Linked DNA regions of Mus musculus. The protein of the gene in region 5 purifies or fractionates together with the protein of the main gene of each other region. This does not show direct contact. Links are inferred from orthologs where the notes say so. Each region holds a gene or a part of one and is shown on either strand. Other genes may lie near its edges. The genes, in order: Hdac6, Trim21, Ubap2l, Atxn2l, G3bp1, Stau1 and Tardbp.

The links.
Region 1: the proteins of G3bp1 (region 5) and Hdac6 purify together in Homo sapiens (affinity purification with western blotting; 4 studies listed by BioGRID, with this or other methods). This does not show direct contact. The link is inferred for Mus musculus from reciprocal best matches to the Homo sapiens genes G3BP1 and HDAC6.
Region 2: the proteins of G3bp1 (region 5) and Trim21 purify together in Homo sapiens (affinity purification with mass spectrometry; 3 studies listed by BioGRID, with this or other methods). This does not show direct contact. The link is inferred for Mus musculus from reciprocal best matches to the Homo sapiens genes G3BP1 and TRIM21.
Region 3: the proteins of G3bp1 (region 5) and Ubap2l purify together in Homo sapiens (affinity purification with western blotting; 6 studies listed by BioGRID and IntAct, with this or other methods). This does not show direct contact. The link is inferred for Mus musculus from reciprocal best matches to the Homo sapiens genes G3BP1 and UBAP2L.
Region 4: the proteins of G3bp1 (region 5) and Atxn2l purify together in Homo sapiens (affinity purification with mass spectrometry; 4 studies listed by BioGRID and IntAct, with this or other methods). This does not show direct contact. The link is inferred for Mus musculus from reciprocal best matches to the Homo sapiens genes G3BP1 and ATXN2L.
Region 6: the proteins of G3bp1 (region 5) and Stau1 purify together in Homo sapiens (affinity purification with mass spectrometry; 3 studies listed by BioGRID and IntAct, with this or other methods). This does not show direct contact. The link is inferred for Mus musculus from reciprocal best matches to the Homo sapiens genes G3BP1 and STAU1.
Region 7: the proteins of G3bp1 (region 5) and Tardbp purify together in Homo sapiens (affinity purification with mass spectrometry; 3 studies listed by BioGRID, with this or other methods). This does not show direct contact. The link is inferred for Mus musculus from reciprocal best matches to the Homo sapiens genes G3BP1 and TARDBP.

What each region holds. Positions count from the first base shown.
Region 1 is NC_000086.7:7,934,259-7,938,111, reverse strand, and holds part of Hdac6 (histone deacetylase 6), read left to right. Parts: intron 1-100; coding exon 101-269; intron 270-356; coding exon 357-485; intron 486-639; coding exon 640-808; intron 809-1,036; coding exon 1,037-1,170; intron 1,171-1,661; coding exon 1,662-1,730; intron 1,731-1,849; coding exon 1,850-2,042; intron 2,043-3,790; coding exon 3,791-3,853.
Region 2 is NC_000073.6:102,562,600-102,566,979, reverse strand, and holds the start of Trim21 (E3 ubiquitin-protein ligase TRIM21), read left to right. Parts: upstream 1-1,497; 5' UTR 1,498-1,591; intron 1,592-2,639; 5' UTR 2,640-2,708; intron 2,709-2,854; 5' UTR 2,855-2,890; coding exon 2,891-3,286; intron 3,287-3,618; coding exon 3,619-3,714; intron 3,715-4,380. UniProt on the Homo sapiens protein: E3 ubiquitin-protein ligase whose activity is dependent on E2 enzymes, UBE2D1, UBE2D2, UBE2E1 and UBE2E2.
Region 3 is NC_000069.6:90,017,946-90,021,798, reverse strand, and holds part of Ubap2l (ubiquitin-associated protein 2-like), read left to right. Parts: intron 1-282; coding exon 283-560; intron 561-729; coding exon 730-902; intron 903-2,457; coding exon 2,458-2,647; intron 2,648-3,330; coding exon 3,331-3,385; intron 3,386-3,853. UniProt on the Homo sapiens protein: Recruits the ubiquitination machinery to RNA polymerase II for polyubiquitination, removal and degradation, when the transcription-coupled nucleotide excision repair (TC-NER) machinery fails to resolve DNA damage.
Region 4 is NC_000073.6:126,493,274-126,497,126, reverse strand, and holds part of Atxn2l (ataxin-2-like protein), read left to right. Parts: intron 1-480; coding exon of another isoform or gene 481-498; coding exon 499-690; intron 691-766; coding exon 767-838; intron 839-1,235; coding exon 1,236-1,306; intron 1,307-1,471; coding exon 1,472-1,767; intron 1,768-1,857; coding exon 1,858-1,927; intron 1,928-2,403; coding exon 2,404-2,550; intron 2,551-2,634; coding exon 2,635-2,707; intron 2,708-2,797; coding exon 2,798-2,988; intron 2,989-3,236; coding exon 3,237-3,366; intron 3,367-3,452; coding exon 3,453-3,574; intron 3,575-3,750; coding exon 3,751-3,853. UniProt on the Homo sapiens protein: Involved in the regulation of stress granule and P-body formation.
Region 5 is NC_000077.6:55,486,720-55,490,572, forward strand, and holds part of G3bp1 (ras GTPase-activating protein-binding protein 1), read left to right. Parts: intron 1-398; exon of another isoform or gene 399-759; coding exon 760-841; intron 842-2,299; coding exon 2,300-2,473; intron 2,474-3,853. UniProt on the Homo sapiens protein: Protein involved in various processes, such as stress granule formation and innate immunity. Plays an essential role in stress granule formation.
Region 6 is NC_000068.7:166,961,695-166,965,547, reverse strand, and holds part of Stau1 (double-stranded RNA-binding protein Staufen homolog 1), read left to right. Parts: intron 1-830; 5' UTR 831-889; coding exon 890-969; intron 970-1,953; coding exon 1,954-2,119; intron 2,120-3,853. UniProt on the Homo sapiens protein: Binds double-stranded RNA (regardless of the sequence) and tubulin.
Region 7 is NC_000070.6:148,623,898-148,628,306, reverse strand, and holds the start of Tardbp (TAR DNA-binding protein 43), read left to right. Parts: upstream 1-1,310; 5' UTR 1,311-1,626; intron 1,627-2,930; 5' UTR 2,931-2,944; coding exon 2,945-3,182; intron 3,183-4,409. UniProt on the Homo sapiens protein: RNA-binding protein that is involved in various steps of RNA biogenesis and processing.

The DNA.
Region 1 (3,853 bases), on a different chromosome or scaffold from region 5:
TGTGTGGATTTTAGGTTTTATGTCCAGGCCATGTTTTGTCTCAAGAGTGTAATGGGATCCAGATTCAGGAAATAAGGTGATCTGAGTACCCCCTTTTCAGTTGAGACCCAGGAGGAAGATGAAGTGGAAGAAGCCGTGCTAGAAGAGGAGGAGGAGGAAGGTGGCTGGGAGGCCACTGCACTGCCCATGGATACATGGCCACTGCTCCAGAACCGCACTGGGCTGGTCTATGATGAGAAGATGATGAGTCACTGCAACCTCTGGGACAAGTGTGTGCTCAGAGGGCTGGGGTGGGTGGTGTTTGGGTCACTCTCCTCAGTCACTAAACCCTTGGCTCTGCTTCTCCACACTGTTAGTCATCACCCTGAGACACCTCAGCGCATCTTACGCATCATGTGTCACCTGGAGGAGGTGGGCCTTGCGGCTCGCTGTCTCATCCTACCTGCTCGGCCTGCCCTGGACTCTGAGCTCCTTACCTGCCACAGGTCAGACCCCGTGCTGGGGGGAGGCCGGCTGTAGGATTCTAGGGATGTTCCAGGAGTAGGGCCTAGGGCTCTCCAAGATGGGTGGAGCCACCTAGACAGGTTCAAGTTCTTATGTGAGGACAAGCTGGCGACTCTTGTTCCTCTGCATCACCAGTGCTGAGTACGTGGAGCATCTCCGCACCACAGAAAAGATGAAAACCCGGGATCTGCACCGTGAAGGTGCCAACTTTGACTCCATCTACATCTGCCCCAGCACCTTTGCCTGCGCAAAGCTTGCCACAGGCGCTGCCTGCCGCCTGGTGGAAGCTGTGCTCTCGGGAGAGGTGCGTCTTCTCTGTGTGCTAGTGAAGTTTAGCTGAAGAAATGAGGTCCTGGGAACATAGAGAGGGACTACCTGCTCCCACTCAGGAGGCCAGAGGCAATAGGAGAGTCTGCTGGGAGGGGAACCACGGAGTGGATGGCCGAGTGGATGGCGGACAGGAGAAAGGGAAGCCTGGGAAAGATGAAAAGAGAGTGAGGGCCAGAGGCAGTCTCGCTGCTCCTCCCTACAGGTTCTAAATGGCATTGCAGTAGTGCGCCCTCCAGGACACCACGCGGAGCCAAATGCTGCCTGTGGTTTCTGCTTTTTCAACTCAGTAGCTGTAGCTGCTCGCCATGCCCAGATCATTGCTGGACGTGCCCTGCGGTAAGGCCTGCCCCCCCAGAGACCCCCAAAACCCGATCTTTGCAGGGATCTGGCTACTCTTTCCATTCAGTCTTACTTGGCAGACCCATGGTCACCCCTGGGAGCTTACACAGAAACAAGCAAAGGTCCACTGGGCAGCACTTGACTACAAAAGCCCCAGGACGGGTGTGTTAAGTGCCATGGCATCTAGATGCTTAATAAACTAGGATCCAGGGTATCACACCAGCATTCCTGAACAGGTTATCCCAACAGAACCCATGCCTGGGCTCCTAGCATTAGAAGAGTCCCTAGCCTTAATTACTTGTTCAGGTCCATAGTTCAGGAAGCCAAGGTTGGACCTTCATTCTTAGAATAATAGCAGTGCTTTCTCATTAACTCCATGGTCCTGTTGCCCAGCAACAAGTGCTTCCAAAGACCCTAGAAATCTAGCAGTGGCCCACTCCTAGGCCTTACTGTCCCAAGGTGCTAAAAAGGGCTATCTCCCTCCCCAGGATCCTAATCGTGGATTGGGATGTTCATCATGGTAATGGAACTCAGCACATATTTGAGGATGACCCTAGGTGAGTGATGGGACTGTGGGTAAGAGTATGGTGTGAGAGGATGCTGAAGCATCCTGCAGGGATGTTCATAGCCTCTAACCTGCTGTGGCCCCTTTCTCATCCCACCCTCTCCCTGGCAGTGTATTATACGTGTCCCTGCACCGGTATGACCGTGGCACTTTCTTCCCCATGGGGGATGAGGGTGCCAGTAGCCAAGTAGGCCGAGATGCAGGTATAGGCTTCACTGTCAATGTGCCCTGGAATGGGCCCCGCATGGGTGATGCTGATTACCTGGCTGCATGGCATCGTCTGGTACTTCCCATCGCCTATGAGGTAAGGCTCAGGTTATTATATAACATTGCTGTATCTGGCAGCACACATCTGCCTCCTTGACGTGTGTTTTGACTACCAGGTGACTAATCCTATGATGGCTATTGGGACAGGGTGGTGGGGATGGCCTTATGTATCTGTCTGCCTATGCATATATGGGTGCCTGTGAGTGGCCTATCTCTGTGACATTTTACACGTAAACAACTGTCTTGGCTCTGTGTATATATGCATGTGTGTGCCTTCTGATTCTGTCTGCTCTTCTGAGTGCATGGCTGTAAGGGTATCCCTAAGAGATACTGTTGTGGAATTGTGTAGAATAGAAGCATAAGATTAAATACATTATGGATATGTCTATGTAATGTTATATAGTGGCTGTCATCTCCTTTCTGTGTGTGATAAGTGTGATAGTGTATGTCATTAAATGCTGCTGTCTTGTGATAGCCTAAGAAAGACTCTGAATATGGAAGGCCGTAGTGACATTGTCACCCACACCCGTCTAACTGGGTCCACGTGTCTATATATGAATCTCGCTGGCTGCTTTGACTCAGGGGTGACCTAGCTGTGTGTGAGCTAAGGACAGGGCCAATGGCGTGTGTGTGTGTGTGTGTGTGTGTGTGTGTGTGTGTGTGTGTGTGTGATAATGCACTGAGGACACAACTCTGCAAGCCTGAACATCGGGCTCTGCTTTTACATCTGCATGCATGTGACTATGCACAGGCGACAGAGGCTACCCTTTATGTGTATGTGTAACTGCATGCAAGCGATAGCCTGCTGTGGGCATTGTAACTGTGCATCTTTGTGACTGTGCAGGGGTGGCTGTGTATTATCGTCCCATGAGAAACCCAAGCGTAAGTGGTGGGATTTGCAGCCCTATCAATATGAACCTGTCTGGTTGGGAGTGGAAGTGTATGACACTTTTATTTGTCTATAGTCTGTGTATAAAAGCCTGTATCATGTGAATGTGGGTCCCGTATTTGACCCTTGTATGTGAGAGAGAGGTTATGTCTCTGTTTCTCTTGTCACTATCTCCTGCCTTCCAAGTCTCCATGTTCTTTCTGTGAGCCATATCTATGTCATAACTCTATATCTTGCCTTCTGTCAACTTAGAGTATCTCCCAAGAGATTTTTGCCCATATATGTGTGTGTGTGTGTGTGTGTGTGTGTGTGTGTGTGTGTGTGTACCACATGTCTGCTTCATGACTGTGGAAGCCAGAAAAGGGAATCTGATCCCCTGGGACTGGAGTGAGACAGTTGTGAGCTGCCATATAGGTGCTAGGAATTGAACCCTAGTCCTGTTTCCACAGCCAGCGCTCTTAACAGCTGAGCCATCTCTCCAGCCTCTCTCCCAGTGTCTTGAGTTTCTGGCGGGTATACTCTTGTCTCTTTCCAGGCCTGCCATGTCTTGTTTCTCCTTGTGTCCCTGTCTTCCACTCCTGCTTTTCAGATGTCAGGTTTCTCTCCCTCCCTCCCTCCCTCCCTCCCTCCCTCCCTCCCTCCCTCCCTCCCTCCCTCCCTCCCTCTCTCTCTCTCTCTCTCTCTCTCTCTCTCTCTCTCTCTCTCTTTGGTTTTTCGAGACAGGGTTTCTCTTTATAGCCCTATAGCCCTAGCTGTCCTGGAACTCACTGTAGATGTTGGGTCTCACATCATCTGGGTTTTGACTTGAATTCGGATGCCTTCGTTTGCCCTTGCTCCTCCCATCACTTATTGCCTCCTCAAGCCTCAGGGCATCTTCTCTTCTCTCCTTACTGCAGTTTAACCCAGAACTGGTGCTGATCTCAGCTGGCTTTGATGCTGCACAAGGGGATCCGCTGGGG
Region 2 (4,380 bases), on a different chromosome or scaffold from region 5:
GGGATTAAAGGCGTGCGCCACCACACCCGTCATCCTTTCTTGTCCCTCTCCCACACCCGTTGGTCCTTTCTTGTTTCCAACTGGTCCTCCTTCTGCTTCCATATTTTTGGGGGCTTCTTAAGTCACTAAATTAGAAATAAGTAGAAGAAGCTTTTCCTGTCCTGGACAAAATGTACTTGCATATCACCAGGGACAACTTGGGTTGCCAATACACACTCAAGTTAGTAGAGAATATGATTAAAACCCAAAGTATAAACATCTCACTTCACCAACACACTAATAATGTGCTAGACAATAATATCAATAGCATTAATTCTTCCCAAATAAAGACTTGGGTCATTTTGTCAGGGAGAGGGAAGTTTGAAATATCAAAGTACTATCTGTGAGTGAAGGGAGTTTGGGTCTTCAGTAGGTGGGGTCTTCAAACAATTACCAAGGTGGGAGCTGAGGCAGCTCTGAGTACAATATGTTAGTAGTCCTGTGTGCACATTATAGAGTATATATCAGCACACCCCTAGGGTGTGCATTAATCTCTCTATCCAGTGTGTAAACTGAAACAGAGCATCCTCTGGTGGTGAATAGCAAAATAGACATTGACTCTACCCTCTGCCTTATTTTGGGACCCAAGTTCTTTGCCTGCAGGAAATAGCAGCAGACCTTCCGTGGTAGAAGCAGAGTCGTTTTCTGATGTTTATAGATGTCTTCGTCCTTTCGGATGCTTGACTCTTTTTCATTCTGCTTTCTAGGACTGTTGTGCTCCAGGAACCAAGCCCCAGTACAACAGCACAATCTAGACAGTAGATGTTGCCTGGCGGCCTTTCACTAAGAGAGATCTCTTAAACAGGACTAGAAATTTCAAATCACAGAATGGTTTTGTTTCCTAAATATAATAAATAGCGAGGAAAATTCCACTGCTGTTTTTAGCGCAAGTTATAATACAATATCAATTGTCCATAAGTCTTAACTCCCTTCACTGGTACAACACATACCTTGACATCATAAAGAATAAATTTCTAGCCCCAAACTATTTGAAAAGAGCAAAATCACACAACAGAGTGGTGGGAAATGGGTATACTTCAAGTACTCTGTACAATTAATATATACTAATAAAAAACAGTGACGGTGGCGGGATCAGTCTTGGGGGAAGCTATCCATCCCTGTAGGAAACAGATGGTGACTCCTCCCTCTCCCATTCAGACCTCTTCTCTCAGAAGCTCCCAGGTAAGAAGAAAAGACCAGTGTCAAAGATCGATATCCTGTAGATTACATTCTGTTAAAGGGGACAAGGGGGCCTTAGAGAGACCCAGGAGGACAGGTACTGAGTTTTTTCCCTGCCTGTGGCCAGGAGTCAGTTTCTTGCACCTCTGACCTCTCTCCTCCCACTCTCTGCCCTGTCTCTGCCCAGTCTCCGCCCAGCCTCCGCCTTCTCTGCCTCTAACCTCCTCTTGCCACTCAACTCCTCACTCCTCCCCTTGCTCCTCCCTCTTCCTGCTAGACCTGCCTCTGAGAGGAAACTGAAAGTGAAATTTGGACTGCAGGCTTGCAAAAGCGAAGCTGGGAGCACATAACTAAAGCTGAGGACCCTGGTTAGGTGAGTGAGACTGGGACCCCTGGCCGGCCTAGGTGGGCTCTTTATCCCCACACCAGATTCAAGGAGCCTCTTCCCATCAGCACCCCACACTCGGGAATTTGCGAACCCACCTGCTGCTTCTTTTCATCAGAGTTGTCTTGTCCTAGCCCTGCAGAGCTGCCCATGCTGGCCTGTGGAAGCTGGGCTCTGAAAGTGACTTTCCTAGTGCCCTGGACTAGCTGAGACGACAGTCCTAGCAAGGGCAGGAGAAGCAGGGTGGTGACCTAGGCCAGAGGGGAGCTCAGGGAAACCCTTACCCCTTGAAGATCCCTGCTTGAGGAGAGTGCTATCCATGTAGAAATTTCTGTGGATTTAAGATACTCCACACCCTAAAGGAAGTTGAGACTAGGTTTGGAGCAGCTTAGAGAAGAGCCCAGGGAGTGCTCCCCAAAAATGTTCACCGGTGAGCACACCTGCATGTTATGTACATAGACATTTATAGAGGGGAACATATGGGCACGCCTACATTGATGCATTTGTGCACAAGTATAGTTTGCATATAAAAACATCAATATATGTGTACATACATATATAAAAACATGCATATACACACATGCAACTCTTATAACTGGGCCATATACTCTTAGACAATGTACTCCGGATAATGAATGACATCTTACATGAACCTGAGTGGGGTCGCTAATGACACACCTAGGCTGCATTGTGTTGCCTATTGCACAACCACCATATGTGCAGCCTGTCATATTTGACAAAATGTCTACTATGATGTATAGCTGCATAAACCTTGACTCCTAATGCCTGACCCCTGTGGTTTCTGCCAAGATTAATGAAGACTAGTATGAGCTAACTCTGGTTGGAATATGGAGGGTCTGTGGTGATATGGTAAATGGTCGTTACTGCCATGACTGACGTCTCTGGGCAGTAGAGGCATAAGATGACAGAAAGGAAATGGGAGACGCCTAGACAGTGAGGGTTAAGCAGGGATGGGTGTGGTGACGGTGGAGCTGTTAGCAGCGTTACCCCCACCAGTTTTCTCTGTCTCTTCTAGAAACTCGGTTTCCCCTTCTGCCTGGCTTGCTCAGTGGGTGAGGCCGGAGGAGAGGCTCCTGTCATTCAGGTTGGTGCTTTTGCCTTCTGCCTTTCCCTCCTGTGTCATCGCTTGTCCACCTTGGCATTATTTGGGGGAGTTTGGGGTTTGCCTTGCTTTTGCTTTTGTCCTACAAACTCTCATTTTTATCTCTTCGCCCCTCTGCATCTCTCAAGATTCCACGGCAGATATCACCCTCTACAACCTCAAAAATGTCTCTGGAAAAGATGTGGGAGGAGGTCACCTGTTCTATCTGCCTGGATCCCATGGTGGAGCCTATGAGTATCGAATGTGGCCATTGCTTTTGCAAGGAATGCATTTTTGAAGTTGGGAAGAATGGGGGCAGTTCATGTCCCGAGTGCCGGCAACAGTTTCTGCTCCGAAACCTCAGGCCCAATAGACATATAGCCAACATGGTGGAAAACCTTAAACAGATAGCCCAGAATACCAAGAAGAGTACCCAGGAAACGCACTGCATGAAGCATGGAGAGAAGCTTCACCTATTCTGTGAGGAAGATGGGCAGGCCCTTTGCTGGGTGTGTGCCCAGTCTGGGAAACACCGGGACCACACCAGGGTCCCTATTGAAGAGGCTGCTAAGGTATACCAGGTAAGGCCTTAGCACAGACTAAAGAACATAGCCACTTTGTCCCCCAGAATGGTGGCTGAGAAGTTGGGGGATGAAGGGATAATTTCTCCCTTCATTGAGAGGAGCTTGTGTATGGAATACAACTTTATTTCTCAGCAGCAGAGGCAAAGCCATGGGAAAGGAGTCATGCATCGTGCTTCCTCGTGGCTCCCGGGTACATTAGAAATGCAGTGGCCCAGATCCCGTTACCCATTGGTGTAACTCTGTTTTTGTTAAGACATACTAGATTTCTTCCATAGTCTTTCCATCTGCCTCCTCCAACCTGGGGACTAACCTGCCATCTTTTTCTACAGGAGAAGATCCACGTGGCTTTAGAAAAACTGAGAAAGGGGAAAGAGTTGGCCGAGAAGATGGAAATGGATCTCACGATGCAAAGAACAGACTGGAAGGCAAGAGCTGTAGGCTGGGCTGTGTCCCAGGTCTTGACCTCAAGCAAGCCTTAACCATGACTGTGCCTATCCAAGGGGCGGTAGAGTTATTATATAGGTCACTCTCCAAGACCCATCCACACACTGTGACTCCAGATAGAGAGGAATTGAAAGAAAGGAAGGAAGAGAGGAGAAGGAAAGAGAGAAGGAAAGGAAGGAGGGAGGGATAGAAGAGAGTCAGGGATGAAGGGAGGCAGAAGGGAGGGAGGGAAGAGGAAAGAAGGAAGCTTAAAATCAGATGGGATTTTCCCCAATCTGGCACAAATATCAAGAATTTCTGGAGAAAGTTTAAGGTTTCGTCATTCCTTCTGACCCTGTCTCAGGGAACAGCATAGTCAACATTAGTTTCTTGGGTCTGTGATAGGAAGTCCACCTGACCTGGTGGCTGCTTGATGGTGAGCAAGTTATTAGTCCAAAGCCTGCTAGGGACCTAAAGCCTGTCACAGTGAGAATTTGCTGGTAGAAAATGAAATGCATCTGAAACTGGGTAGGAATGAGAGGCTCACAGCCAATCACAGACCCCAAATGAGTAGCAAAAACTTGACCCTCCCAAGATGGCAAAGACTGTTTTCCTGGGACCACTGCTTTCCACCCAGGGTATCAATGGGTATGGGAACAGGTCTTATG
Region 3 (3,853 bases), on a different chromosome or scaffold from region 5:
GACAAAAGTCTGTGTGCATAAAATAAATACTTGTTTGTTTTTAAGAAAATGCCCTAAAGACTTGCCAACAATCAGAGACATTTTCTCAACTGAGGTTCTTCCCAAATAACTCTAGCTTGTGTCAAGTAAACAAATTTATGTGGCAAGAATCTTTATGCACTGAGAGCCATTTTGCTAGCTGGAGTTCTTGAATCTTGAAGGTCTTATTACTAGTATTAGTATAGGACATTTCCTTGGAATGTATCAATGTCACTGGCTCATAACTTGTGTTTCTTCTTGCAGATCTGAAGAGTGCAAATGATTCAACAGTGCACAGTCCTTTTACAAAGCGCCAGGCATTCACCCCATCTTCAACCATGATGGAGGTATTCCTTCAGGAGAAGCCACCTGCAGTGGCTACCTCGACAGCTGCACCACCTCCCCCGTCTTCTCCTCTGCCAAGCAAATCCACCTCGGCTCCACAGATGTCTCCGGGGTCTTCAGACAACCAGTCCTCCAGCCCTCAGCCGGCTCAGCAGAAACTGAAACAGCAAAAGAAGAAAACCTCCTTGACGTCTAAGGTACTTGAGCTTCTTAGGGAGATGCTGTTTTAAGGCAGGGAGGTTATGGTATTTCAGGATGAGATAGTCTAAGGGTTTATTTGGAAATTTAAACTTGAAAGGAATAATTTTATTTCTACAAAAAGATTGTATTAAACGTTTACATATTTTTTTCCTACCTTTTTCATAGATTCCTGCTCTGGCTGTGGAGATGCCTGGCTCAGCAGATATCTCAGGGCTAAATCTACAGTTTGGGGCATTGCAGTTTGGGTCAGAGCCTGTCCTTTCTGATTATGAGTCCACCCCCACCACGAGCGCCTCCTCAAGCCAGGCTCCTAGTAGCCTGTATACCAGCACGGCCAGGTAGAGGAATCATCACCCAGAAGACCTCTTTTGGTAGCTTAGTTTTGTGCTTACTTCTTCTCCTCTGGAGAGGCCATATTTCTGACTGGATAAAAGTAGTCAATCATAGCATTTTGTTGTGTGCTTTTAAAGAAATACGTTGTTACTAGGATTATCTATGATTTAAAACATTTAGATAAATGCCATTTAGATACTTCTAGAATGTCTTAAGCTCAGTTTGTTTGTTTGTTTTGTTTTGTTTGTATGTGCAGACATACACGTGCATCTGGAGGCCCGGGGTCAATATCAGGTGTCTTTCTCAAAAATCACTCTCTACTTCATTTTCTGAATCAGCATCTCTCACTGAACCTGGAGCTCACTAGACCAATTTGGATAGCCAATAAGCTCCACGAAACTTATTGTCTCCATTTCCCCAGTGTACTAAGATCATAAATGTCTTCTTCCCAGATTTTATGTAGGTGTTCAGTATCAGTTCATGCCTTCATTGTTACATGGCTAATGCTGTACTAACTGAGCCATCTCCCTAGCTTCTCAAGGTTTGTTTGATTCTGACGGTACCTTGACATCTCCTGCAGTGAAAAGTGCTTTATTTGTTGTGGGACTATGTTTGTGAAAAGTAAAAATAGGAACTCAGTAAAAACATTAAAATTAAAAAAAAAAAAAGCCATAAAAATAAATGAACCTTTTCTGTCTTCTGGTAGTTACCAAGGAAAGCCATCTTATGCATAGATAATCAATTTTTCCTTAATGAGGTATCTGGCTTTAGTCTAGATCAGATTAGTTGAGTCATAATTGCCACTGATGCCTAAAAAGATTTTATATAAAAAAAATTTTTTTCTGGACTGTTGTGGCTCATGGGAGTAGGGGAAATGTGTGAGATGAGAGCAAATGCTGTGTTACAGAAACTAGTGATAATCTGCTATTGAAATAAAACCATTTCGGGTAAGAAACTTCAGAAAGACAGGCTGGGCGTGCTGGTACCCCAGTCCTAGCACTCAGGAGGTTCAAAGCCAGCCAGGGCTAGTGACAACCTCCCCCAAAGGGAAATGCTGGAGAAATGACCTGGTGGTTAAGTTCCTTGTTGACCATGTACACAACTTGATTTTCAGAATCCACATGATACATAGGCATACATGTGAACAAAACACTGGTATACATTAAATCTTAAATTTTTTGTTTTGTTTTTTGATTTTTCAAGACAGACTTTCACTGTGTAGCCCTGACTGTCCTAAACCTCATTCTGTAGGCCTCCATTCAGGCATCTGCCTGCCTCCCAAGTGCTGGAATGAAAGGTGTGCACCACCACTGCCAAGAGTTTCTTTGAAGCATAATTCAAAAAATGTTTTCCCCACTCTGGGAAATTCTACCAGTGATGAAACTGATCAATAGATGATTTTTCTTGTGCCAGGGTTTCATGGTGTGATGTGGAGGGGTGCATTGAGTTCTTTACTCTCCCAAGTGCCTGATTTTTAAACATTTCTCCTTGTTAATTAATTGACAGTATTTTATTCCAATAGACGATCATCATTTCCTAAGACATTTTTCTTTTCCACAGTGAGTCTTCATCTACAGTTTCATCTAATCAGAGTCAGGAGTCTGGTTATCAGAGTGGCCCGATTCAGTCGACAACTTATACCTCCCAAAATAATGCTCAGGGCCCTCTATATGAACAGAGATCCACACAGACGCGGCGGTATCCCAGCTCCATCTCTTCATCACCCCAAAAGGACCTGACTCAGGCTAAGGTAGTAGTTTAATGATTCCCTGGGCCTTGGTTAGCAAAGTAGTGGGTAAAAGTCCCTCTAATATAGTTTCACTTTTCTGGAAATGGTGCTACAGTCTTGGAGGTGCCAACTGAGATGCTGACAAAAGCACATTTCTGTGATTGGTAAACTAAACATTATTTTCAGCAAATGTGGAGGACCCTCAAGATTCAGAACATTTCTCTTTGCAATAAAGATTTGTTGGTTATGGCAAAAACTGTCTCAAATACCTGTCCTTTCCTCATAGAAGATCAGATTGCTAACCTTCGGGGTGCATATATATTAGTAAATCTACGTTACTCTGGTAAAAGGGATAACATATACCTAAGATGGTCTGAAGTACCTGTCTAGCAGGATGGGTCCTAAGAATTGTTTTATTTTAAACTATTTGGTGGGGGTAGTGGCTGTGTGCATATGAGTGCTGGTACCCTAAGAAGCCAGAGACATCAGAATCCCTGGAGTGGAGTTACAGGTGGTTGTGAGCTGTCTAATATATGCGATAGGAATTGAACTCAGGTGCTCTTTGTGTGTAATCCATGCTTTTAACTGTTGAGCCATCTTTCCAGGTTCCCTAAAATATATTTGACCAAAATTAAATTAAGTGACTGATAACATCTCTCTTACAAGCTTGTCTGTTCTTGCTTTTTTTTTTTTCTCCTCTCCAGAATGGTTTTAGCTCTGTGCAGGCCACGCAGTTACAGACCACGCAATCTGTTGAAGGTAAGCATTTTCCAGGCTTTTTCTTCTTGGTTTTAGTGGCTTTCCTCAACATTGATGTAGAGTTGTTCGTTTTTTTGGAAGGTAGGAAGGACCCTGTTGTGTAGACCAAGCTGGCCTCAAATTCACAAGAGATTTGCCCACTTCTGCCTCCCAAGTGTTGAAATTAAAGACATGTGCCACTGTGCTCAGCTGTGTGTGTGTGTACACAGTAGTCAGCTTTTAACTTCTCTATCTTCTGAGGTCTTTTTGTTTTGCTTTGTTTTATGTGTATGGGCATTGGCCTGTGTGAGTGTCTATGTACCAAGTATGTGCCCAGGGTCAGATACCCTGAAACTGGTTGCAGATACCATGTGGATTGTTGGAAATCTGGGTCCTCTGGAAGAATTGAGTGCTCTTAACTGCTGAGCCATCTGTCTAGGCCCATATCTTTTTTTTTTTTTTAAACATATTTTTAAGTGTGTTGGTGTT
Region 4 (3,853 bases), on a different chromosome or scaffold from region 5:
ATTTTATCATTCCAGTTTTTTTTTGTTGTTTTGTTTTTGTCTTTTTCAAGTCAGAGTTTCTCTGTGTAGCCCTGGCTGTCCTGGAACTCTGTAGGCCAGGCTGACTGGCCTTGAACTTAAGAGGTACAGCTACCTCTGCCTCCCAAGTGCTGGGGTTAAAGACATTCAGCTGGATTTAATGTAATCTTTTTGAGAAAGAACTCTAGTTTTCTTTGGTTCTAACATGTCAGTTTATGGGTTGTAGCTGGTTATCAGGTGTTTTGTTGAGACTTTTTTTTTTAACCAGCATTTTAGAACAGGAGAAGTTATACCACTTCCAGTCTTTTTGAACTACCCAGAGAAACCATTGCCTTTGTGTTACTTACCTGCCCTGGGCTTAACACAGGAAATTGTGCCTCTAGGTGAAAAAAAGCTTGTAAATTTTCTATGGGTTTTCCCCCTATATGCACTACTTCCTGGCCAGCAATAACTATCGTGTAGCTCTCCCTTTTCTTCCAGTGGGCCGGATGTACCCTCCACGGTCTCCCAAGTCTGCTGCCCCTGCCCCAGTCTCAGCTTCCTGTCCTGAGCCTCCCATTGGTTCGGCAGTGGCGTCCTCTGCCTCCATCCCTGTGACATCATCAGTTGTGGATCCTGGTGCAGGCTCTATTTCCCCGGCATCTCCAAAACTCTCCCTGACCCCTACAGATGGTGAGAACCGGTTGTAAATGCTGGAGAACTGTGGGTATGACTTGAGAGCAGGATCTAATTGCCTCTTTTTCTTCAGTAAAAGAACTCCCAACCAAGGAGCCCAGTAGGAATTTGGAAGCCCAAGAACTGGCCCGCATAGCTGGGAAAGGTGAGGGCAACTTTACTCTGTAGTCCCATTTACTCGAGGGAGCGTTTCCCTTTGGAAGCAGTGTAGTGTCCATTTGCCCTTCGATTTCATTTATCTGTTTGTTTGTTTGTTTAAGATTTATTTTATGTATATGAATACAGACACACCTGAAGAGGGCATTGGATCCCATTACAGATGGTTGTGAGCCACCATGTGGTTGCTGGGATTTGAACTCCGGACCTCTGGAAGAGCAGTCAGTGCTCTTAACTGCTGAGCCATCTCTCCAGCCCTCGTTTATCTTTTAAGATTCTTAACAGCTCATTCTTTGGTTTCTTATTTCTGGATTACTAACTAGCCCTGTGTGACTCCTCAGAGGGGGAAAAAAACGTATTTTCTCATTTCTCTGTTTTTTTCTCAGTCCCTGGCCTTCAGAATGAACAAAAACGATTTCAGTTGGAAGAACTGAGAAAATTTGGGGCCCAGTTTAAGGTGAGTGAAGCATGGGAAGGAGCTGGGATTTAAGCTGTGGGAGCTGTGGGATGTGTAAGGCACAGGCAAAGTGAATGGGAGCGATGAGTTCAGCAAGAGTGAATGGAGGAGGTAAAAGCCCGGGTCTGGAGTGCACACTGTAATATGTGAATTATTTCTTCTCAGCTTCAACCTAGTAGCTCCCCTGAGACGGGCCTGGATCCATTTCCTTCCCGGATCTTGAAAGAAGAGGCCAAAGGAAAGGAGAAAGAGGTGGATGGTCTATTGACTTCAGATCCTATGGGATCCCCAGTCTCCTCTAAGACAGAATCCATATTGGATAAGGAAGACAAAGTGCCCATGGCAGGAGTAGGAGGGACTGAGGGGCCAGAGCAGCTCCCAGCACCTTGTCCCAGCCAAACCGGCAGTCCTCCAGTGGGCCTCATCAAGGGGGATGAGAAAGAGGAGGGCCCTGTTACTGAGTAAGTAGTGCTAGTGGTGGGTGGTGTGAAGATCTTTGGTGCTTACCCGCTGGGGAAGGGCACGACTCAGTTGGTTTACATTCTCTACAGACAAGTGAAGAAGTCTACTTTGAACCCCAACGCCAAGGAGTTCAATCCAACAAAACCTCTGCTGTCTGTGGTAAGCTGGGACTATTTCTTGTAGACTTGGGTCTCCTTGAGGGGACAGTAGAGCAGTACTCCAGGAGAGGACTTGACTGTCAGGATAGCGTGCTGTCCCATAGTGTGAGATGGCACTGTCAGTCTGGGCAGGAGCAGTTAGTTGGACTGCTTTGGGAAAAACAGTGACATCTCCAGGGCTGAGTGATGAAGGCTGCTTATTGATTCTGACAAGTTACTTTAGGTCTTACTATTTGGTGTGTTGGGTGTGTGAGGGTTAGGATTATGAGCTCCAAGGAATCAGCTGACGTGGCTTTAACTGATGTACTCATGGGGCTTCGAGATTTCACACAACCACTTAGAGCTCTCTTAGTTTGTGAATGTCCATCTTGTGATTTGCTATGAAGCGCTTAGGGAAAGTGTAGGATATATTTGACACAGGTGGATTTAAAAAGGCTGAAGTGGGATTACAGAAATATCTCCTCTTGTCTCTTACAGAACAAATCTACCAGTACTCCAACTTCACCAGGGCCCCGTACTCATTCAACACCTTCTATACCGGTGCTGACAGCAGGCCAGAGTGGGCTCTACAGTCCCCAGTACATCTCATATATACCTCAGATCCACATGGGACCAGCTGTACAGGTAGGAGAGAGTGAGCCCAAGAAAAGTGCTGATTGTCCAGCTCAGGCTGTTCTGAGCACCTGCTGAGCCCCAGATCTTTCTCAGGCGCCTCAGATGTATCCATATCCTGTATCCAATTCCGTGCCTGGGCAGCAGGGCAAGTACCGGGGTGCAAAAGGTGAGCAGGGTTGGGAAGAAGAGCTGGGACTGCCTAGTACCTTTTGGCTAACGCTGCTTGAGCTTTGTACTGTTTACTCTCCACCCACAGGCTCACTTCCTCCTCAGCGCTCTGACCAACACCAACCAGCCTCAGCCCCTCCAATGATGCAGGCTGCTGCTGCTGCTGCTGGCCCACCCCTGGTGGCTGCCACACCCTATTCCTCCTACATCCCCTACAACCCACAGCAGTTCCCAGGCCAGCCTGCCATGATGCAGCCCATGGCACACTACCCTTCACAGGTAACGAACACCTGAAATCCAACCTGATGGGGGGAAGCAGGGTTATTTTGAGTAGTGGTGGCTGTGGGGTTGGCAGTGTCCACTTGAATTCCTGTAACAGGACATTGAACCTTTGCTCTCGGGTTTTCCCTCTGAATTAAGGTGGTTACTGTCTTTAAAACCACTACTGAGGCTCATGCTCCTATGCACATGGAAGCTGACAGGACGTTCCAAGCAGGTCTGCTTAGCATTTTGTTTTGTTTCTTTAGCCGGTGTTCGCCCCTATGCTTCAAAGTAATCCACGAATGTTGACATCGGGAAGCCATCCCCAGGCCATCGTGTCGTCCTCCACTCCTCAGTACCCTGCTGCAGAGCAGCCTACCCCCCAAGCCCTCTATGGTGAGTTGTGGTGCCCACTTTGTCACCAGGATATATGTATCCATTTGGTGTGCTCAGCACTCGGTCTCCCTTCTTTCCTGCTGCAGCCACTGTTCACCAATCCTATCCACACCATGCCACGCAGCTCCATGGCCACCAGCCGCAGCCGGCCACCACACCTACTGGGAGCCAGCCACAATCCCAGCATGCGGCCCCCAGTCCCGTTCAGGTGCCTGAATGTGGGGTTTGGTTGGGAGGTCTGAGTGGTTGACCCAGGAATGGGTGGCTGGAAGAGGGCTTGAAAAGAGCTGGGTCATTCTCCAGTAGAGAAGTGGCATGAGCGAGCTTGTGCTTTGTCTGCATAGCAGAATGGGTGGCACTCATACCTCACTTCTACTCTGGCAGCACCAGGCGGGGCAGGCCCCTCACCTGGGCAGTGGACAGCCACAGCAGAATCTGTACCATCCAGGGGCCCTAACAGGCACGCCACCTTCTCTACCACCGGGAC
Region 5 (3,853 bases):
GCACTGGTGCACACCTTTAATTCCTGCACTCAGGAGCCAGAAGTAGGTGGATCTCTGTGAGTTCCAGGCCAGCCTGGTCTACAGAATGAGTTCCAGGACAACCAGGGCTACACAGAAAACCTGTCTTGAAAAAAAAGAAAAGTAGCAAGTTAGTGTGCTTTGGTAAGGTAGATGGAAGCAGGATACAGATCCACAGCGCTAGCATGGGCTCTCTTAAGGGTTTATGGAGTTGTCCTTAGATGTCTTCAGTGGTCTTTGGTTGGCATTTTGCTGTTAAAGAACATCTCTCTGATGTTCTTTTAATGAAAATGGTGATTGAGTGCATAGATGAGAGAGGGCTAAAGGGATAAATATTTATACCACCTGTGCACAGGACAACTGTCCCACTGCCTTCTCAGGTGGGAAGGCACCGACTCTTCAGGTCCGTGACAGGGCAGCTGTCTGTCCTCAGTGGAAACAGGAACTTGACTTTGATTTTAAGTGCCTGACTTTGCTGACAAACTCCAAGGCCCTTCCCAACATGATCATCCTACCTACCCTGAAACTTGGAAGTCGGGACTTGAAAACCACACACATGCCTCATGCCTCATTGACTGAGACTGTCCCCACTCGGGCGTGTGCAATGGACTTGTCGTGCACAAACATAAACAGTCCCCGCTGTGAGTCTGCCAGTGAGGCGGATAGGTACCAAGCCTGAACACTAAGTACCTGCACTCCGGGTCCTTGAAGATGAGAAGTAAATTGCCTTCTCTTGTACAGATTTTATGGAAAGAACTCTTCCTATGCCCACGGGGGCTTGGATTCCAACGGGAAGCCAGCAGATGCAGTCTACGGGCAGAAGGTGGGTGCTGTGGACCAGTAGCAGCAAAGAAGGCAGCTCCCTGCCTACTGGGAAGCTGGTACCTAGGGGTGGGTTTCTGTTTAATTCTTTGGTTTGCTGAACACTCTGTGTGTTGTCAGGTTACTTTGATTCTGTGTTAGATTGCTGGCTTCAGCAGAAGAGTGCCATGTTTAAACTTAAAAGGTGTGTATTCAAGGCACTTATTTGATTATTTTATTTTATTTTATTTTATTTTATTTTATTGGTTTTTCGAGACAGGGTTTCTCTGTATAGCTCTGGCTGTCCTGGAACTCACTTTGTAGACCAGGCTGGCCTCAAACTCAGAAATCAGCCTGCCTCTGCCTCCCGAGTGCTGGGATTAAAGGCGTGTGCCCGGCTAATTATTTTATTTTTTGAGACATGATTCAAGTTTTTTGCTATTCTGGAACTTGCTATGTATGTCTGGATATTCCCCTGACTCAGTTTCTCAAGTGCTTAGATTACATATAAAAGTGGCAGGACAGTTGTTTTTAAGGCGCTAAGCTGTGATCACTGGAACTACAGCACACACCCACTGACAGCTGGACTATATTATAACAGTAATACATGTATTCTCTATATGCTGTGTTGGACATTTTTATTTTTTAAAATTTGTTTACAGATGTATTTATGTGTGTGAGTGTTTTGCTAGCATCCATGTCTGCACCATGTGTGTGCTGAGTCCCTGAGGAGGCCGGAAGAGAGCTTTGGATCCTTAGGAGCTGGATGCTGGGAACTGAGCTTAGGTCCTCTCCAGCTCTGAAGTGTTCACATATATTGGTTTGTGGGTGAGTGTGACTGAGTGGTATGCTTGTGGAGGTCAGAGGATACCTTGTCAGGAGTTCTTTGCTTCCACCGTATAGGCCCCAAAGATAACATTCTGGATTATCAGGCCCTATAGCAGGTGCCCTTACCTGCTAAGCCACCTGGGATTTATTTTTTTAACTAGATTTTTGTGTTACTTTATTGTCTCATTGTTGAGACAAATACCTGACAGAAGCAACTTAGGCAGGATGCAGGGCATTCAGGCTCACAGTCCACGTGAGAAAGGCGAGGTAGTAGGGACACAAGGTGAATGCTGGTGCTCAGGTCCCCTTTTGTACAGCACAAAGGTCTCGCCTGTGCAATGCTGCTGTCCCAGCAGAGTGTTTCCTAGGTGATTCTAGGTCTTGTCACGCTGAGTGGAGATGAGCTGGTGTGAGCGTAGCAGGTCTCTGCCCTTCAGTGTACTTGTTGTATAGCTCTTCAGATTGCTTGGAGACTGCTCAACCACTGTGCGAAGGAGCAGGAGGAAGCAGGGCTGAGTGTCAAGTACACATCTGTGAGAAAACAGGGCGGAGCTTGGAGGATCTGCCAGTCTGTTCTTGGTGCTGGCAACTGCTGTTTTAGTTTCTGAACTGGTGAGTTCCTGGGGGATTGACTCTTGCCTCCATTCCTCAGGAAATCCACAGGAAAGTGATGTCACAAAACTTCACCAACTGCCACACCAAGATCCGCCACGTGGATGCTCACGCAACTCTGAATGACGGGGTGGTGGTCCAAGTGATGGGGCTACTGTCCAACAACAACCAGGCTCTGCGGAGGTTCATGCAGACCTTTGTCCTTGCTCCTGAGGTATGTTGCTCTGTAGTGATGGAGTACTTAAAGACTAAAAGCTGTGTGGAGTCCAGATTCCTGGCAGCTCAGGGTTATAGGTATGGCTGCAGGGTAGAGCTGCTCTGTCCTCTTGTCCTAAAGCTGTGGTGCCCTCACTGTAATCTTCAGGAAGATGACTGTTGGGAGGAGCCTCCCCTAAACTGTTGAAATGCAGGAGACTTCGTGTCCCTTCGGCTGGCATCACCTAAGGACAAGGGATCTGTTTCCTAATCACCCTGTTGTCACCACATTTAGAGAACAGTGCTCGGTATATATATAGCTCATGCGGTAACCATGCCTGAGTTTCAGAAAGTAGCTGGCCTTGTCTTGCATAGTTTGTTTTTCTTGATCTGGGATTCTGTATGTAGTTCTCTGTTGTGTTTGTCTGGCCGTGTGTCTTGTTCCCTGTCATTGTAGTCCCTCCCTCCTCTGGTTTGCTTGGCATCGACAGTTCTGAAGAGCAGTCCTGTGTCATTGTCCACGCATCATATACCTTCCTCACTCATCCTTAGTGACCATGGTACTAGAAGTGTCTCTGGTTCCCCTAGGTGATATGTTCAGGTCTTGCCATTGTAAAGTCACATAGTTGTTGTATCTGGTTTATAAATTGTGACTAATCTTGGGATCCTGTATAAACGTGCTGCTCTTTATCAGTTTTGCATACCATAATTCTTTTTCATTTGAGGTTCTTGGCTGAATGGTGACAGATGGGAATGTCTGATACTATCCACCACTCTTGTGTTCATTTATTGGCATTATCTTATAAGGATCCCCTTACCCTACCATTCATTTCTAGTATATTTACTGAGTTATGATTCATTAATAATTGTTTAACATATCCTCATGTCCTGGGTCTTGTTAGTGGGAACCCTTCATGCTGGCCTGTTTTGGTGTGGGCATGGCATGCATGGTTTATGTCCTTGTGTTGACCCTGGCCCTGATCAAGCCCCACTAGCTGATGGTTCCATTCATGATGCTTGTCTGTAGTTGGGTTTCTGAAGGTACCACAGGTGGATGATGAGGGATGGCATCTGCTGTGCCTTCTCCAGAGAGAAGGGCAAGAAAGCTGCATAGATACGGAATCAGCTCATACGGGCTTCATCTGAAAAATTTTATTTAGGATAGTATTTTGTCTTTTTTTTCCTCCAGAGCTGAGGACTGAACCCAGTGCCTTGCACTTGCTAGGCAAGTGCTCTACCACTGAGCTAAATCCCCAAGCCCTTAGGATAGTAAAATACTATCCCTGTCTTAAAAAAAAAACAAGCCCATTTGGATGTTTCTGTTTTGACATAGAACTGCATTATGTAGCTCAGATTGTCCTGGACATCACAGTGACGTCCTGTGTCAGTCATCCTCATT
Region 6 (3,853 bases), on a different chromosome or scaffold from region 5:
GAGCAGGGCTGACTGAAGCGAGCAGAGGTACTAAATTGAATTCCCAACAACCACATGAAGGCTCACAACCATTTGTACAACTACAGTATACTCATATTCATAAAATAAATCTTTTTTTAAAATGTGGGTTATGCCATGACAATAATCTTTCGAGCTGTTTTGGTTTGTGAAGGTTTGTGAATTAGATGACCTAAGAGAGCAAATTAGAAGATGAGTAGTGTGTGTATTTCTGTGAGTGTGTATACACATGTGTGCAGATGTGTGTGCTGTGTATAGAGTTCAGAAGACAGCACTGGGATTTCTCATGAAATTTTCCACCTATTCCTTAGAGGTAGGACCTCTTCCTAAAATGTGGGCTCATGTTTTCTCAGCTAGGTTGGAAGACAGCAGTCCTGTTAGAGCCGGGGTAGCAGACATGTGTGGGACCTTGCTGTGTCAATGTAGGGATCTGAATTCTAGTCTTTATGATTAGACAGCAAGTGCTCTTACTGCTGAGCCCTATCTCCAGTCTTAGTCTGTATTTTCTCAAGTCATCAATTCTGAGGTTAAAGTTCCCTGTTGATGTATATGAAAATGAAACTGGGTTTCCTGTCATCTGTGACCATGGTTCAGCCCCACTGTAATGTTAGGTTGGAGATATCTGGATGTTTTCTGGTCCTCATTTGCCTCCTCTAGACATCCACTTCCCTCAACTTACCCAGGTTTTTCCCGTGATTCTGTACACTGTGTGGATTCTTGGATTTCCTGATGGATGTCCAGGGGTAGAGTGCTTGGCTGTTAGCATCAGTGTCCAGGGCCTGAACCATCCTTTGTATGATTTTGTGTTGCAGAAAGTATAGCTTCTACCATTGAGCTCAATGCACTGTGTGTGAAACTGGAAAGAAAACCAATGTATAAGCCCGTGGACCCTCACTCTCGGATGCAGTCCACCTACAGCTATGGCATGCGTGGAGGTGCCTATCCCCCCAGGTATGTGCTTGGGGTGGAATTAGTTGGGTTTTTCCCTAAAGTAGTCTCTATGAATTGTGAATGATTTGGTCTGCCTCAGGTTCACCTCTGGACTTAAGGTGTGCCTTTGGTACTGTGCTGGGACTGTTGAAGCCTACTGCCTTTGCAGAGGGCCCAAGCAGGTTGCTCAGGAGCAGCTGCATTCACACCCATGGTCTGGCTACGTTGTTTCCTCAGCACATGCTCCTGAAAGTCTTCTCTGACATTGTGCTTTGTGCAACGCTGAGACTAAGTAATAGTGCTCAGAAGGGTCAGAGCCTAAAGTGGCTGCAGATGGCCTATAACCCTAGAGTTCCAGAGGTGGAAGCAGAAAGAGTATCTGCTAAGTAGAAGCCAGGCCAGCCTGGGCTACATAAACTCTTGTTGTATGTTCAAACCTTTGCTTCAGGAGTGAGACATTAGTGAACAGATCAGTGATGGAGGCAGCTGTTTCATTTTCCACCCATCCTCTGATGAGGTGCAGGAGGGCAAAACCTCAAAAATACAGGTTTTGAAGTAGAAGGAACCAGACTCTTTTGGACTTGGTGCTGCTGAGATTTCCAAAATGAGGGTCATTTCCAAAAGACGTCACCCTTAAAATTCCCAGACTCTTTGAGAGATGTGCAAGTGCACACTGAAGGCTTGAGAAAGGAAAGCAAGCTAAGTTTGTCTCGGCCAGCACCTGCGTTCATTCAGGCACTGTCAGTATGGCCTATTGTGGAGCATCAGATGCGTACATAGCATGTGTCAGCTACTAGAGTAAGTGTGACTCTAGCGCTCTGCTTAGTCACAGTGTGGCAGCTGTAGATCATATGAGTTTTAGGGCAGCTTTTGTAGAGCTGACCAGGAGGTCTTTCTAGCTATGAGCACGGTGACAAGGCCAGAGTACACAAAGAGTGGGGTTTGCTGAAGAAAGTATGGCTGACTTAGGAGATGGAGACTGAGACCCTACCCTTGTGTTTGTAGATACTTTTACCCATTTCCAGTCCCACCTTTACTCTACCAAGTTGAGCTCTCCGTGGGCGGACAGCAGTTTAATGGGAAAGGAAAGATGAGACCACCCGTGAAACACGATGCCCCTGCCCGTGCGCTGAGGACTCTGCAGAGTGAACCCCTGCCAGAAAGGTTGGAGGTAAGGTGGACGCGAGCTTGAGACACCTCACTGACTTCCAAGGTGCTGCTGCTGTCTGTACTACTGGGTAATTAATCCAGATTCTGTCACTGGGAAAGTGTCCCCTAAATGTCTCAGCAGGAAAGCAAATGGCCTTTCCTTTTCCCCTGGCAATGGAGTGTAGAGCACATGGTGGGTGTGGGAAGGCCGGGGCTCTTGAGTTGTGAGTGTCGGATTCTCAGTGCTGACACCTATGCTCTTGGAGCTGCTGATTGGTGTTCTTTTTGTTTTTTGTTTTTCCTGTGTAGCTCTGGCTGGCCTAAACTCACAATGTAAACCAAACTGGCCTTGAACTCACAGAGCTCTGCCTGCCTTTGCCTCTTGAGTGCTGAAATCAAACCTGTGAGCCACCACGCCCAGCTAGAAGCCATGATTTGTGGTGCTAAATTAAGAGTATTTGTGACCTTCAGCCCACCACCATTTTCTGTAGAAATGCTTTTAGTCTTTTGTTAGCACGTTATCCTAGAACATGGTGCATGTATTTTACTCAAAGATCTGCAGCTTGAGCAGGGCTAGATGTGGCGGCTTGCTGGCAGAGGAAGCTCACCAGGACGTCACCAGCTTGGGAGGACTTAGTAGAAAAATGGCTCCTCCTGACAGGGCACCGTAGTTTCTGGGTAGTGTCCCTCTTACAGGGGCTGTTGGTACCTCCTCACAGTTTGGTGACTGCATCTCAAGAATGAGAATCCTTATAGACAGGAAAAGGAAGCCAGTTATTAAAGCCAATTCTCTGAACCCACAGCCTGGCTTCTGTCATGGTTTCTAGGTTAGGCAGTCCCAGAGCTAAAGGAAGGAGATAAGGAGACTCACCTTTGTGTGTTCTTTTATTAAAGACCACATTAGATGAACTCTCAACTCTAGTACAAGCATTATCCAGTGGCTTCTAGGGCACTCACAGTGTGGAAAAGAAGGTGTTGAAGAATTTGGAACTTTTTGTTTGTTTTAGCTACTGCTAAAGGTTAATGCTAATATTATTAGCCATGGGTTGTGATTTAAAACTACAGGGTAGAAAAGGAATCTTACAGGTTTTTTTGTGTTTGTTTGTTTTTTTTTTTTTGTTTTCCTGTGCCTGGAGAGTAAGTAATTTTTAAAAAAAAAATTTATTTATTTATTTTATGCATATGAGTACACTGAAGCTGTACAGATGGTTGTGAGCCTTCATGTGGTTGTTGGGAATTGAATTTTAGGACTTCTGCTCACTCTGGCCCAAAGATTGATTTATTATTATAAGTAAGTACACTGTAGCTGTCTTCAGACACACCAGAAGAGGGCGTCAGATCCCATTACAGATGGCTGTGAGCCACCATGTGGTTGCTGGGATTTGAACTCAGGACCTCTGGAAGAGCAGTCAGTGCTCTTAATCACTGAGCCATCTCTCCAGCCTGAGTAAGTAATTCCTAGGATGACTGTTGGTAGTTGCTTGACCAGCTTCATGCCAGTGAGAGACTTATCTCCAGGGTGGATGCAGCCTATGGATGGCACCAGCTGGCATGGCTCCCTCATAGACAGTCAAATTTCAAACCAAACTTTGTAGGTCTTCAGCTTTCTAAGGCACTTGGAGGGAAGATTAGCTTTAAGAACTAGCCAAGGAAAGCAGCCATGCAGCCATAAGGGACAGGGAGAGGTGGCTGTTTAGGAGGCTGAGGTAGCACTGTCCCTTGGGTCCAGCTTGGGCAGGGCGGCAAGCACATGAAG
Region 7 (4,409 bases), on a different chromosome or scaffold from region 5:
ACAAAAAACCATTTTGGTGACTCACACCTGTAATCCCAACACTGAAGGCGCAGATTCAGGAAAGGCATAGCAAATCTGAGGCCAGCCTGGTCTACACAGTAAGTTCTAAGCCAGCCAAAGACTACGCAGAAATCCTGTTTTGTTTGTTTGTTTGTTAAGTTCAAAACCAAAAAGTAAATAATGCTGGGTGGAAGGACTCATGCCTATAATCCCAGCACTCAGATGGTTGAGGCAGGAGGACAGGCCAGGAGTTCCTGGCCAGCCTGGGCTCTAATGGAAGTTAGGGGCTAGACATTAACATCTGTTCTTCCAATGCCATCTTCTTACAAGGTAGCTGTGAGGAGGAAATGAATTCATTTATAAACTTAAAGTGGGAAGGCTTGGCCTGATGGTGATCTGCAATCCTACCCCATTCCTCCCAGAAGGGAGGCAGAGGCAGGAGGAACCCAGCAAGCTCAAGGCCAGCCTGTTCTGTACAGCAAGACCCAGTTTCAGTAAATAAAGCAACTGTGTAAAACCTTTGTGCCTAAGCTTTGAATCTGATACACCAAGAAATTCCAACCCTGAGTAAAGAGTCTACATCTGCTGCTTGGTGGTAGAGCTAGCCTTCAGCCTTTTTAAAGTTATACTAGGACTCGTCAACTGGAACCGAAATACTGAAACATCCAAGTAGTTTTTTGCTGTAGGATTCAGACCCTAGTGGGGCCTCTTTCTCATGGTGACTTCATGCAAGGTACTCAACTCTGTGCCTCAGTTTCTTCACTTATTGAAAGAGGAGAGAGTATCACGACTATCGTGTAGACTGCTAGGGCAGCATCCACACTTGGCAGCCTTGATGAGTTAAAGGACAGCCTGGGCTACACAGTGACTTTGAGATCCCTGTCTCTAAAACAGTATCTGATGGCTAAGCCCAAGGTCAATGGGAAGACACTTGCCTGCCATTCACAAGATTCTGGTTTGTTTTTCTCCCCCTAGAGCCAGAGAGTGCTAAAAGGTACTTGATACAAAATAGTACTTAGAACAGGGACCATTTTGCAGATCAAAGTTAATGTTTCCACGTTGGAAATTAACGAGCAAAGGCAGAAGACATTTAAGAGTCGCCTTTAGACTAGGAACCCAGGGTTCCCAGGGATTCCCCCCCAAGCCCTTACGCGTTCAGTCGCAGGCTCCGCCCCCTTTCCCTCCTAGCCCCGCCCCTGCCGCCCCAGTCCCGGCCTGCGCTAGTCTCGCGCATTCTCGGCGCGCGCGAGCTCCTCGACTAGGGCCGGCCGTTGGTCAGGCGAAGCCATCTACCGCGTTACGTAGGGGGACTCGGAAGGCCGAGTGGCCGTTCTGTCCTTCATCTGTCAGTTTTTCAGACCCAGCTGTTTTCATTGTTGCGTTTCTTTACTTTTTTCTATACGCCGAAGAGCCTGCTAGCATCCGAGCCTCTGGGAGGAGAGAGCGCCTGTGGCTTCCCTCGGAGAGCGCCCCTCCTGCAGGGAAGCCAGTGGGAGAGGCCGAAGGCGGGCGAGGGCGGGAGGCGGCCCTAGCGCCATTTTGTGGGCACGGAGCGGTAGCGCGGCTGTTGTCGGATTCCTTCCCGTCTGTGCTTCCTCCTTGTGCTTCCTAGCAGTGGCCTAGCGGGTAGGTTGGTCGCCAAGGCCGGCCTGCGTGCCTCGAGTGTTGCTTCGGAGAGGCCCGGTGCGGCCTGCGCCGCGGGGAGGGAGCGGTAGAGCGGGGCCTGGTTGGCCTCGCGCAGCCGCGTCGTTAAGGCCTAAGCGCGGGCAGTAGCCGGAGCGGGACGCCGGGCCTCTGCTTGGCTGTGAAGCCACGGGCGGAAGTGTGTGGCCGCCCCGGGTTTCCAGGCGTCCTAGTCCCTGTAGATTGTCGCTTTTGAGAATAACTGTTGTCACCATGGGACTTGGACCTCCGCGGGCCCCACCCTGGGCCCAGTTGAAAGGGGGGGAAAATCATCAACGTTGTCTGTCGCGCACGGCCTTCTGGGAAGCGGCGGCCTACCTCCCGGAGTAGCCGTCGTTGCTCCCTCGACGCCTAACTTTAGCCAGACCTTTCCGAGGATGAGCACCAGAACTGCTAGATAACTGTTCTGATGTCGGTGTTCGTGCTCCACCAGCACAGGGAGGGTTCCTCAGATCCCAATGCTTGGCTGGTTTTTTCCACGTTAAAGCACGTGCTAAACCCGATTCAGGTCCAGGCTATAGAAGAAACTTAATTCAGAATGGTTACGAAATACGGTAGCCTGTAATCTGTGCGCTCCAGGTAAGAAATGACGAGTGCAAGAAAAAAAATCGGGGCAGATACTTAGTTCTTTAACACCTTGTTTTTGTCTGGCTTTGTAGCCAACGGGCCACATGGTAACACTGTTGCCATTTTAGCACCGGAAGCTTATAGTGTGCGCTGAGAAAATAGAACTGGCGGGCAGAGCGCCACATGAACACCGGTTTTCCCTGTGGCTGCCCCGGAACTCAGTAGACTAGGCCAGCCTCGAACTCAAAAAGATCTGCCTGCCTCAAGAGTGCTGAGATTAAAGGCGTGGGTTATCGTGCTCGACAAAAATCACATTTTTTTTTAAAGATTTATTTTATTAATATATGTAAGTACACTGTAGCTGTCTTCAGACACTCCAGAAGAGGGAGTCAGATCTTGTTGCGGATGGTTGTGAGCCACCATGTGGTTGCTGGGATTTGAACTCTGGACCTTCTGAAGAGCAGTCGGGTGCTCTTACCCACTGAGCCATCTCAACAGCCCCCAAAATCACATTTTTATTTTAGAAAATACCTTTTCTCTATTTTTTTTTCAGGGATGGCAAAAGAAACATTTTAGGTAGCAGGAATCTTTTCAGGAAGTGGGAATAAAGTGGTGTGATAATAGCCAATTATGAAAAGATAACTCCTCTGATTTTCTTGCTCATTTCTTTTTCCTTTAAGAGATTTAAGCAAAGATGTCTGAATATATTCGGGTAACAGAAGATGAGAACGATGAACCCATTGAAATACCATCAGAAGACGATGGGACGGTGTTGCTGTCCACAGTTACAGCCCAGTTTCCAGGGGCATGCGGCCTGCGCTACCGGAATCCCGTGTCTCAGTGTATGAGAGGAGTCCGACTGGTGGAAGGAATTCTGCATGCCCCAGATGCTGGCTGGGGCAATCTGGTATATGTTGTCAACTATCCCAAAGGTTTGTTAATCATTTTGGTTTTGCTGTATTGCTGGCCATGGTTAGACTTCCGTGCCATCTTAATTTAAGTGAGACTATAATATCCAGGGCTTCATGTGTGCTGGGAGAATAGTCTATTGTTGAGCTCCAACTTGAGGGTTTGGTCGTTATGGAGGAATGTTTCCTATGACCCTAACTTTTTCATAAACTTTGTTTAGACTTAGACTACTCTGGCAGGTCAGCAGTTTAAGTAAATGGAAATTGAAAAGCAGGATTCTTTTTTTGAGGAGCATGAATTTAAATGTGAAGCTGGCAGAACATGGTCATTGCTAATTTTAGGTGGTGAAACCTAAATGCCTTAAAGATGCATCTGTTTTGTAAAAGAATTTGGCTTTTTGAAACGGGGTTTTTCAGTCTTTTGGGTTGTTTTGTTTTTGGTTTTGTTTTGTTTTTTCTCTCTTCCCCTTCCCGAGACAGGGTTTCTCTGTATAGCCCTGACTGTCCTGGAACTCACCCTGTAGATCAGGCTGGCCTCGAACTCAGAAATCCACCTGCCTCTGCCTCCCAAGTGCTAGGTTTGAAGGTGTGCACCACCACTGCCCAGCTTTTCCTTGCAGCCTCAAAAATCATCTTTGTCTCATCGTTTTTTGGATTTTCGAGACAGGGTTTCTCTGTGTGTCGTCCTGGCGTATCATCCTTTTAAGATTTGTGTTTTATTAAAGATTTATATCTTATGTGTTATTAATGTTTTGTATGTGTGTCTCTACACTGTGTGTGCACCTGGTGCAAAAGGGCATTCAACCTTCTGAAACTAAAACTGTATGGTTGTGAGCTGCTGCGTGGGTGCTGACACCCAAACCCTGATCTCAGAAGACCGAAAACACGACAGATGCTTTTAACGCCAGTGTTCTTACTCCATCTCTTCTTTTTCCCTCCTCAAAAAATACCAACTGCGCTAGCCCAAGTCTTGAGTTAGGGCAGAGCTACCTGAGATTTTTCTCCCTCTCTTACTATGGACGTTCTTGAAAGTTTGAGAAAGCTGGGTCTGTGGTGCACGTCTTTGATTCCAGCACTCAAGGGGGCAGAAGCAAGTGGATCTCAGAGATTGGGGATAGCCAGGACTACAACAAAGGGAGACCCTGGGTTGGGGACACTGGTGTTGGTTAGGCGTGTTGGCACATACTTCAAAGACTGGTAGTGGTGGTAAAGTGAGGTGCTGTGTTGGAATGAACAGGGGCTGAAGGTTAG